Linked DNA regions of Drosophila melanogaster. The protein of the gene in region 1 binds, or shares a complex with, the protein of each later gene. Each region holds a gene or a part of one and is shown on either strand. Other genes may lie near its edges.

Region 1 (5,527 bases):
GAAATTCAAAAATTAATTATTTTTGGAACTTGACAACATCGATTTACAAAAAGTAACTCAATACATATTTTTTTGTAGACTTCACTTTGAATTTCGAAAAAGGTGACCCAAACATGTATATTTTACCATAGAACATCTTTAAATCTGATTTTGAATTATTTGTAAAAGCGTGTGTTTCAATAACTGGCGTCCTAATAGCACAACTCAAAAATTTACTAATAAATTGTGAGGGACATATTATTCCCATTTTTTATTTATTTTAAAACGCCAAAGAAATAAAATAGCAATTCGCGTGCAGAAAATAAATTTCGAATAAATCCAGATCTGACGGGAAAACTTTACGACATCACTAATCTCGATGAGCTGACAACCCTGTTTGTGACTCAGAGAAACTGCAAGTAAACAAAGTGCAACTTCAAATTACAGACGAGATAAGATGTCGAAGCCATCAAAAGCAGGTCCACCAAGCGAGGGAAGTGCTCCCGCTTACGACTATCGCCATTCCGGCGATGACATGGCCATGGTAATAAGTTAATTTGATTATCAAATACCAGTCGCCATCTAAAGTTTTGCGACTTCTAGCGAGCTCCTCCGCCAACGTATGAAGAAAGCCAGCGAAACGGCGGCACCGGTGCTGGTGCCTATGGCTATCCACAAGGAGGAGGTGCTCCGCCCAGCCAGAATCAGTATTACGGCATGATCAGCCACCAGCAACAGCAGATGCCCTTCAGCGGGCAGCCCAACTACGGTATGACACATGGCAGTGGCTTCGGACTTGCTGGTCCCAGTACGTCGGCAGGAGCAGCTGCAGCACAGGTCCTCCACTTGGACTCACGGGCCGAGGTGAGGACAAATTCCAACGGAAATGTCGTCATTCCGCCTCCTCCGCCGGGCTGCCTGCCCACACCGGCTCAGTGGGCGGCCATGCAGGGTCAGCCTGTGGTTCTCAAGCAAAAAAAGCGTTCCTTTTTTTAGGTTACACATGGCACACCATTTACTCGAATATAATCATGTTGTACCTCTTTCCACTCCTTTGATGTTATAAAAATAAACGACGCGATCCGTTTCGTTTCGTCCTCGCGTATATTTGAAAGTTCCCTAAGCAAACGAACATGTCGCCGGTGAAATGGTTATGTTAAGTCCACCGGCTCTGATCCTACTAAATCACTACTGGATACAAACTACTCGAAGATGTTCTCAAAGTATGTACTATCGAATGTCTGGACACGCACGAAACCATCTTCTCCGCCCGAGGCGTAACTCTTGCCGTCCGGATGGAAGGCCAAACTGTTGATGGGTCCGAAATGGCCCTTGAGTCGGGCGAACTCCTCCTCGTATATCAGGTGGAAGAAGCGCGAGTCAAACTTGCCAGCCTTCGTAGACGTAGTGGTCACCTCCATGGCATCTTGACCGCCGCCCAGCACGACATGATCCATGATTGGGCTGATGGCCGCCGAGTTTACTGGACGCTCCGTTTTGTAGGTCTTGAGGCACATCAGGGACTCCGAATCGAACAATTTGGCGGTGGTGTCCTTGGAGGCGGTCACAAACATGGTGCCATCCTTGCTCAACTGCATGTCGTTGATGCCAGCGCTGTGATCCGTGCCAGAGTCAACCACCTTTTGACCCTTACGGATGTCCCAGATGGCAATGTTGCCATTATCGTGACCTGGAAATACGGGTTTTAAACGGTTTTCATAATAGATTATCGGGTAAACACCAACCTGTGATGATGGTCTCATCCAGAGGACCCCACAACATCGACGTAATTTTGGACTCGGTCATCGGGATGCGGAGTGTGGGCTCCTGCTCCGACAACGAGGAATCGGCGTTGCGGACATCGATGAGGAACAGTTCACAGCTCTGTCCCATCGCTTTGTCCGTTGAGTAGGCTGCCTGGTTGCCCGAGAAGCTGAAGTTGCTGGTGCGCACCGATGACTTGGTCGGAATGGAGGCGATAACGGTGCCGTACTCGACGTCCCAGATCTTAGCGGTCATATCACCGGCGCCGGTGATGAGCTTACGGCTCTCCCAGTCCACATCCAGGCACCAGACCGCACCCTGGTGACCATCGTAGGTGCCCAAACGTTCTCCGTTCAGCGAGTACCACACATTGGGCTTCTGATCCTTGGAGCAGGAGAAGAGCAGGTCGCCCTCGCGGTTGTACTTGATTTGCGTTATGGAACGCTCGTGGCCCTGAAGCATCAACGGACGCTATAAAAGACAGAATAATACGAATTTTTAGCAACAATTTAGGCCGCTTTTAAGGTTATGTTTGGTCCGGAATTTCACACGACTTTCACACTTTGCAAATAGTTGTAATTTCGGGTAAATTCTAAAGAAACCCATCCGGAATAATGCAAACTGTGTAGTCATTGACCAGGCACGCACCATTTTGTATTATATTGTTATTTGTTGCGAGAAAACGAATATTTTTGCAACAACATCCACGCAGCACTACACGCCAAAAGAGCAGTGTGACCGTGGCCTAGTCAAAATCTCACTTCGATATACCAGGGGGATCTAAAAAATACCGTTAATCAAGTTTATTTTGAACAACCAGAAATTTTTACAATCTAGAACTTAAGGTATAGCCAATATAAACGAAAATTTGGATTTAAAACTTGATATACATCAAGTAAAAACCATATTTTATGCCATACATTAAGTAAATACAACGAAACAACATTTGCCTAGCTTAGCCAGCCTAGCTGAACCATCCCTTTTTGTTCATTGAATTCCACTTGGCTATGTTCACCAAAATGGATGCCACACACTGGTCCTTGTCCCGATTTTGGCCGTAGTAATCGACAAACTCGCCATCGGGATTGACCAGGTACATGATGATGGTGTGATCCACAATATAATCGTTGTCCTCGTCCCGCGGTCCAGCGCTGAAATAAACCCTGAAGGCCTTGCACACTTTGCGGATTTGTTCGACGGTTCCCGTGAGTCCCAGCAGTTTGGGGGAGAACTCTTTTACGTATTTGGCCACCACCTCTTTGGAGTCACGTTCTGGGTCAACGGTGATAAAGATGGGCTGCACTGCTGGCGTTTGCGGGGACTTTTCTGTGAAGGTTTGAGAAACATGGTTTTTTTTGGGTTTGGAAGAAATAGTCAGGCTCTACTTACCAACTTCATCGACGACGGCGGCCATCTTCTCTAGCTCATCGGGACAAATATCCGGGCAGTGGGTGAAGCCAAAATAGATGAGCAGCCACTTGCCTAAGAAGTCCTCCGATTTGCGAACAGCTCCCTGCGAATCAACTAATTCCCAACTGCCGCCGATGGCTGCTTTTCCCAATTGCCGCTGACGCTCCTTCATTCTCGCCTCATCCTTCTCGCTCTTCACGTACAGCATGAAGCCCACTCCTCCGGCTCCAAGGGCTCCAATGACGGCCAGACTTCTCCAAGAGATCGGACCCTTGCCTTTAGTGGAATCTGCGGGAGCGGCATAATGACGAATTGCGGGCTGTTGTGCCCAGCGACGACAGCTGCCCACTAAGCGTTGCAGGGAGCGGGACATCTTACGCCCGGTTTCAGAAATTTGAAGGCTTTACGTAAATCTTCTGGAGAAATAAAAATATCGCCGGTGTCCTGCTGCTTCTTCCTATTCAGCCAGTCACGGCGAAACAGCATTTATTTAGTACATAAAGTATATTTATTTAGTATATTAGTTAGTTTGTTAGTTAGTTTGGTATATTTTGGTATTAGAAGGCGGTCTTATTGATTCCAACACGTGCGGTTCAATTTTGTTAAATTATTTAATAAAAACACCGGGGCAAATGGCAAGCAAAAATCGCAAGGAGCCGCTTCTGTACATGGAGGAGTATCGGGTGAAGCAGGATCCGCAGGACTATGGACTGGCGGACGATGTATTTTCCGTTCAGGCTTTCAAGGAAAAGCTGCACATCAAAATCGTCAGGTAAATCTCAATAGAAATTAGAATCTTACGAGTCGATTAACAATTGGTGTTCACTTCTAGAAACGACGAAGACGGCCTGGAGTTCGATCTGATTGGCGTGTATCCCGCCATTGCAAATGCCTTCCGTCGCCTGATGCTCAGCGATGTGCCCAGCATGGCCATCGAAAAGGTGTACATATACAACAACACCTCGATCATCCAGGACGAGGTACTTGCCCATCGAATGGGTCTACTTCCGTTGCGGGCTGATCCCCGTCTATTCGCATACCGCACCGAGGAAAGCACTGAGGCGGGGACCGAGCAGGATACGCTTGAATTTGAGCTGAAGGTGAAGTGCTCGCGGCGACGGGATGCTGGAAAAGATCAGTCCAACTTCGATGACATTTACAAAAACCACAAAGTGTACTCGGGTCATCTGAAGTGGCTGCCCAAAGGAAAGCAGGCGCAGATATACAGCGAGAGTGCTGTGAACTGCATTCACGATGACATACTGATTGCCCAATTGCGTCCGGGTCACGAGTTGGATCTGCGCCTGGTGGCGGTTAAGGGACTTGGACGGGATCACGCGAAATTCTCGCCGGTGGCCACGGCCACCTACCGACTGCTGCCCATGATTAAGCTGAACCGCGAGGTGACCGGTAAGGATGCGTACCTATTACAGAACTGTTTCTCACCAGGAGTAATTGGCATTGACGAGAATGAAACTGCCTATGTAAAGGATGCACGCTACGACACGTGCAGCCGAAATGTGTATCGCTATCCCCAGCTAAACGACGCTGTGACTTTGGCCCGTATCCGAGATCACTACATTTTCTCCGTGGAATCAGTCGGCGCACTGAAGCCCGATGTCATCTTCCTGGAGGCGGTCAAGGTATTGAAGAGAAAGTGCCGGGCGCTAATTGACGAAATTGAGGCAGAATAGTTATTTATTTAGTTGTTAAAGAAATTATATTATGTACATAAGACAGCTTGATATAAATTGTAAGCCTACGAAGATCGTGCTTGCTCTCTCTTGCGCTTGAGCACCTTCAGGCGAAATTCCGTTAGGACCACCTGCAGACGCTCCTGGCACATTAGTGCGTCCTCCAGGTCCATGTTGTTCAGCTGCAGAGCCAAACTCTTGCCAAACAAGTCAAATTCACTAATAATGGTGTCTTCCGTCATCGCGTCGACTTGGTATTCGTTATTAATCTCCGTATCTTCCGGCTTGAGCTGTATCATCTCTTCCTCGTAGACCACCTCTTGGTCCTGGAGATCTGTTTCATTCTGTTGTACTTCGAGGAACTCGTTCTCAACCTCAAATTCTTGCTCTTGATAGGGCTGATCTGTTCTGAGTAAATCATCCAGGATTGAGTCGTTCGAGGCGATTTCGTCCTCCTCCGTCTCCTCCTCCATGCTCTCCACCTTCGTGTCGTTCTTGATCTTTGGCTGCATTTTGCTCCTTGGCTTTTGCCTTGGATAGGTCTTTGATTTGGCTTTGGGCTTTGCTTTGGGTGAAATTATGGAGGCCTCCAAGTCTGGGTCATGCTCATCTTTGACAAGTTCACCCTTAATCATATTCTGTAGGTATAAATACGGAGTTGTTAATTTTATGTAAATTAG
Region 2 (5,016 bases), on another chromosome or scaffold:
ATGGGCCACCGGCTTACTTGCTTGCAGAGGCACAGACATCGGTCCCTCCAGGCTGCCCACTTCTCGCTCCAGGCACTCAAGCACATCGTCCAGGGCCAAGGCGTCTCCCACGGCCACCGTGTGCTTCCAGTGCTCGTGCCGCATGCGTAGCACCTGTTCGGAGTGCTCGCACCGCCGCTGGAAGTCGCGGGCGTCGTGCAGGCGACGAAGGCACAGGTCGCATATCACATCGGTGAGGTTGTCGCCGTGCTCAAGGCGCAGGGCGGGAGCCAGGGCCTTCAGCTCCACCGCCAGCTGGCTAGAGGCGTCATAGAGACTGTGGTAGAGCGGCGGCTGCTCCAGCAGGCAGCAGCGGCAGACGAGCGGGTGGTGCGGCAGCAGCGAGAGCATAATACTTAGTTGCCGAAATCCGGACGGACGATCGCGGTTTACACTGTGAGTTCAATCAAGGAAGCCCCGATCTATACGGACGATTGGCATAGTTGTTTTCCTTGCGTTGTAGTCTTAGCTCAGTCTACTTGGGTTTTCATTTTGAAATCGGATCTCATTACGGTTTTACCACAGGCTTAATACTTCGTGCGTCTGCTCGGATCGCCGGTCGCTGGACGTCTGAGGGTGTGGATCCGCATCTAATCCACTCCTCAGAGCAGCGATGTCTATCAGGAAAGGCGACCGGGGCACACCGATAGCCCTTGGCTTGAGCGATAAGTCAGAGGCGGCGGAGGCGTCGGTTCGTCTGAGGGGTGGGGGCGCAGAGAGACAACGGGAGATTCGTCTGAGGAGAGGGGTGTCGTAGGGCTACTATCGACGGTCAACGTCAACGTTTGCTAATTTTCAGTTCGTTCCAGCTAATTGATTGCCCCGGTGGACATCCGCCGACTGTCCCTGAACCGCGATAAGGCGTTATTATCTCGGCATTATTTGGGTGGTCCACATCCCCGACACCCCCACCACCTTTCCACTACCATCCTCCGCCGTGCCCTCTTCGTCGAGATTTGAACAGACCGAAATAGATCTGTACTGGACCTTATCACCGTCCGTAGAGATCATCATTCCGCCGCGGGTTTCCCAGCACTGTTGTTGTATTTACCGCAAACTTTTTGGTGCTTAAACGGCCAAAGGAGTTGGCGAAATGACTCGCTTTCTCTGAAAATCACTTACCAAAGGGACTAAGATCGGGATGCTGGAAAAGAATGCCGATCAAGCGTTGCCTATAAGGTTTTCGGGCAACGCAACTGTGTAGAACGGGGGAAGCCTTAACGAAAATCATTTGTTTTCGGCACGAGCTTATAATGATCTTAATCGCTGGATGCGATGTTTCTAGACTCCAAAGTTCAGGAGCCGATACTAATTTAATAATTTCTACCGAAGGCTTGCTTTAGTGTGACCTACATCCTCCTTTTAATGAAAGTTCAATTTATTAGGTGGTGTAAATAGCAAAAGGCACCCAAAATAACAATTAAGTGATTGATTCAGTCAATTCAGTCAGTTTTTTGTCATTGTTCACTGATCCTGCATGCAAGACAGTTTCTCGCTGATCTCCAGCTGTGTTTTTATCATTGTGGAAAGAGTGATGGCCATGAGCATATCCCTCAAGTTAGTATTAAACATGACGCGAAATTTGTCCGAGTCCAAAAGCGGCACGGCAGTGAGAGCGGCGTAAAGGGATCTCCCGACTACGTTGTCAGGTTTTTTCTTCCTGGCCAAGACATCGTTGATGTAGCGCAGCACCAAGTCAAGGCGATGTTGCATATCCCTAGTGGCATCCACCACTTGAGCCAACTCTGGGACGAAGCGCTCCATTTGCTTGCTTGCCTGTTGCTGCGATTGCTTTTCTATGCAACGCAGAGCCACCAAATCGGAATTTTCGTTGCTAATCTCCAGTGGAACTAATGAGAACATCAGTCCTTTGGTGCCACCAGGCACTCCCATCTCCACAGCACAGTACAGTCGGGTCGAGAGTCGCTGGTTCTTCAGGGCTGCATCCACTAGCAGGTGCAGTGGCTGTCCTTCGCAGCATTCTCTGACATAATAGTCGTGGATCAGGGACGCGGAGCGGGACACCGATTTCCCAGTGCAGAACCAGCCCAGCACACGCTCGTTCGGATAGGCGAACATATTTAGCTCTAGGACCTCGGAGGCATATGCCATATCCAGATCAATGCGTTTGTTCTCCGAATGCTCCTTGTGCGGCACAGTAAAACAGTTTGTGATCTCGATGTGGCCCTCCTTGTTGCGACCCAGCAAAGTGCCCATAACCTTTGGTTTGATCATTACAAGATTAGTGGACAGGAGATGAATGCGCGCACACCTACCTGATTGTCACCTTTTGGTCGGCGATCGTATGCGTCAATAATTTGGAAAAACACCAACGGCTTTAGATACACCTTAGCTCGCATGCTAAAATTCCTAGACATCATGAGTTACAAAAAAAATTAAGTTGGAAAAGAAACTTAGCAAAGCAAACTTGGCTGCGCTTGTGCCTCCCCTCGATCCAGTGTTGTAAAATGTAAATATAACTTAAAAGGGCACGTGCCAAAATGTGCTCACCTATTTCGTTGCCTTGCTATTTAGAAACTTGCCTATTTAGAAACATTTTGAAATGGTAAACAGAAAAAACAAGCTTAAAATAATTTTAAATTAAGCATCATACATTATTTTACAGTTGTGTATGCTATAAGAACATAATAACAAAAATTAAAAACATTCTGCCTTTTTACCATATATGTATATAGTTTAAAATTTAGTAAATGTCTGTTAAAACGACTCTTAATTTACGTGCATGAGTTTGTTACGGATAGCCATGGGTATTTCGTGTATCAATACCTTGTGAAATGGGAATCTCACCAAGTATCAATGGCAGTGTTCCTTGCTCCTCCCATATTTCGCATACGGCATAATGACTTTAATTTCATACTCATACAAATTTCAATTGGCGCCCTATATTAAAAACTCAGTTAAGGTGGTAAACAAATCAGACTGGTAAAACGTTTACATAGCAAAACCAATGAGGCCATTTTGCATGGGAACTAATTTATATATTTTTAATATTTTAAAAAAATATATTTATATAGCCGTCAATGAATATTGTTACCCAAATTCGTGATAATTCTTCTTTTATGTCGAGTGTATATTTTATTAGAAAATGTACAAGACTTTTAATTTAAAAACTATTCCCTGCAAAGTAAATTCATCGATGAATAACCAAATATGCATATTGCTATAAGCCCAACATATTGCATTATAAAAATCGGCCATCTACGGCGTAGATCTTACACGCAGGTCTTGTTTGAAGCAAGAAGAATCGATTGTAAAACTCCCGCTTCTTAAAACGGTTTTAGCTCGATAACGGAATATTTTATTCAATCCTCGGCAATTTCCATCTTATACCTGTCGGTCGTAAAGCATAAGGGTAAACTAGATAGATTGCTAGAAAAGGATGTGTCAGGTAGGAGGAAGCGTATCCCGTCTTGTAAAGTAAATCCTCCTACCGTGCATCTGTCTGCCTATCTAAATGAATGTAGAGATCTCGGGAACTTATCTAGGGAGTGCATTAAGCATGCAGATTCTAACAACACCACTAAAATTATGTTACTCTAAAACGTAAATTTAAGTTTATTCTTAAAAATCGTTGATTTAAATTTTTATACGGATTTCATAAGCTTTAATTAATCATATGTGGTTAATGTAAATGCAAAATGGGCTGGATAAGAATGTTAATTTATTTATTAAGTACTAAAAATGTAAATTCCTTAAATGGCAACCATGTTAAACATAAGCAGAGATTTAATGAATGCAGACCGTGAGCACAAATCACAAATTAAGTGTGAACTTGAACCTCCATCAAGATGCCTCCAAATTATTTCCGAAAGCGACAAGTGTAACGCTAAGAAAAAGTACACCTAGTAAGGCGATAGTTTTATATTCTTTTTGGAAAATATAAAAATTAGTACCATTAACAGCTTTGGAGTCCGAGTTAAGCCTTATTATTAAAGAGTTTGAATGAACATTTAATCTAACGAATTAACATTGTTACATACTCTTGTGTCAAACAATTGTTGCAAAATGTGATATAATAATAAAGTAATGGGACGTAAGATTGATATCTAAAAACTTAAAATAATTTATATAATTTTTTGTAATTTTTTTAAATTTCCCATCGATCTCTTCGATTATAAATCTACTATAAAAGAAACACACAATACTAAAAGTACATTTTATTATTTTCTTTTACTGCGATTCTTAAAAATTATATATTACTTTAGTTGCCATGTAAATATTAAGAAATTCAAAAATTGTTGGTTTTAAAACAGGAATATTAACTTTTTGCAGCGTCTGAATCTTTTCCTCGAATCATTATACATGGAAATAATATTGTCACGTCCAACATGTCACGTTCGACATATCATTGCGTGTGGATTAAATAACTCGATTGAAGTAACCAGTTCTGAAAAGTTAATTATTTTTCTAAAATTAATTATTTGAAAACATAAATGGATTATGGGAAGGTACGTGCTGTTAAACCAATGAACTTTGTCCGGCCGTAGTGAAGATAAAGTTATATATAAGTATCTATCAATATCTATTTAACAATATTAAAAAAAAAGGTAGACTGCTACAGTCGACTTCCCCGACTATCAGATACCCGCTACACAGATGGTAGAAATGCGAACGCAAAATTTCATTATTATACTCGTTATTCGTAGAGTAAAAGGGTATACTAAATTCTTTGAAAAGTATGTAACAGGCAGAAGGAAGCGTTTCCGACCATATGAAGTATATATATTCTTGATCGAGATCAATAGCCGAGTCGATCTGGCCATGTCCGTCTGTCCGTATAAATGTGCAGATCTCAGGAACTATAAAAGCTAGGAGGTTAAAATTCACCATACAGATTCTAGAGACAGAGTCGCAGCGCAAGATTGGGTTTGGCAACTTGAATTAACAAACTAGCGTTCGACAAGAGCCGAAGATCACGAAGATATATAGTTTATATGCCTGTTACAAACTTTTCAA

The links. The genes of interacting proteins can lie anywhere in the genome.
Region 2: eIF3i (region 1) and eIF3f2 share a complex: the UniProt entries of both Drosophila melanogaster proteins name them as parts of the eukaryotic translation initiation factor 3 (eIF-3) complex.

The regions. Positions count from the first base shown.
Region 1 is NT_033779.5:4,965,300-4,970,826, forward strand, and holds eIF3i (eukaryotic translation initiation factor 3 subunit i), read right to left. Parts: upstream 2,477-5,527; 5' UTR 2,395-2,476; coding exon 2,392-2,394; intron 2,215-2,391; coding exon 1,725-2,214; intron 1,670-1,724; coding exon 1,182-1,669; 3' UTR 1,068-1,181; downstream 1-1,067. Other genes in the region: CG34125 (uncharacterized protein), read left to right, coding at 437-523, 583-975; Scox (synthesis of cytochrome c oxidase), read right to left, coding at 2,708-3,069, 3,133-3,526; Polr1C (RNA polymerase I and III subunit C), read left to right, coding at 3,786-3,925, 3,986-4,847; l(2)05714 (lethal (2) 05714), read right to left, coding at 4,913-5,485. UniProt on the Drosophila melanogaster protein: Component of the eukaryotic translation initiation factor 3 (eIF-3) complex, which is involved in protein synthesis of a specialized repertoire of mRNAs and, together with other initiation factors, stimulates binding of mRNA and methionyl-tRNAi to the 40S ribosome.
Region 2 is NT_033778.4:6,198,321-6,203,336, reverse strand, and holds eIF3f2 (eukaryotic translation initiation factor 3 subunit f2), read right to left. Parts: upstream 2,485-5,016; 5' UTR 2,421-2,484; coding exon 2,316-2,420; intron 2,260-2,315; coding exon 1,504-2,259; 3' UTR 1,381-1,503; downstream 1-1,380. Other genes in the region: CG30431 (uncharacterized protein), read right to left, coding at 1-390. UniProt on the Drosophila melanogaster protein: Component of the eukaryotic translation initiation factor 3 (eIF-3) complex, which is involved in protein synthesis of a specialized repertoire of mRNAs and, together with other initiation factors, stimulates binding of mRNA and methionyl-tRNAi to the 40S ribosome.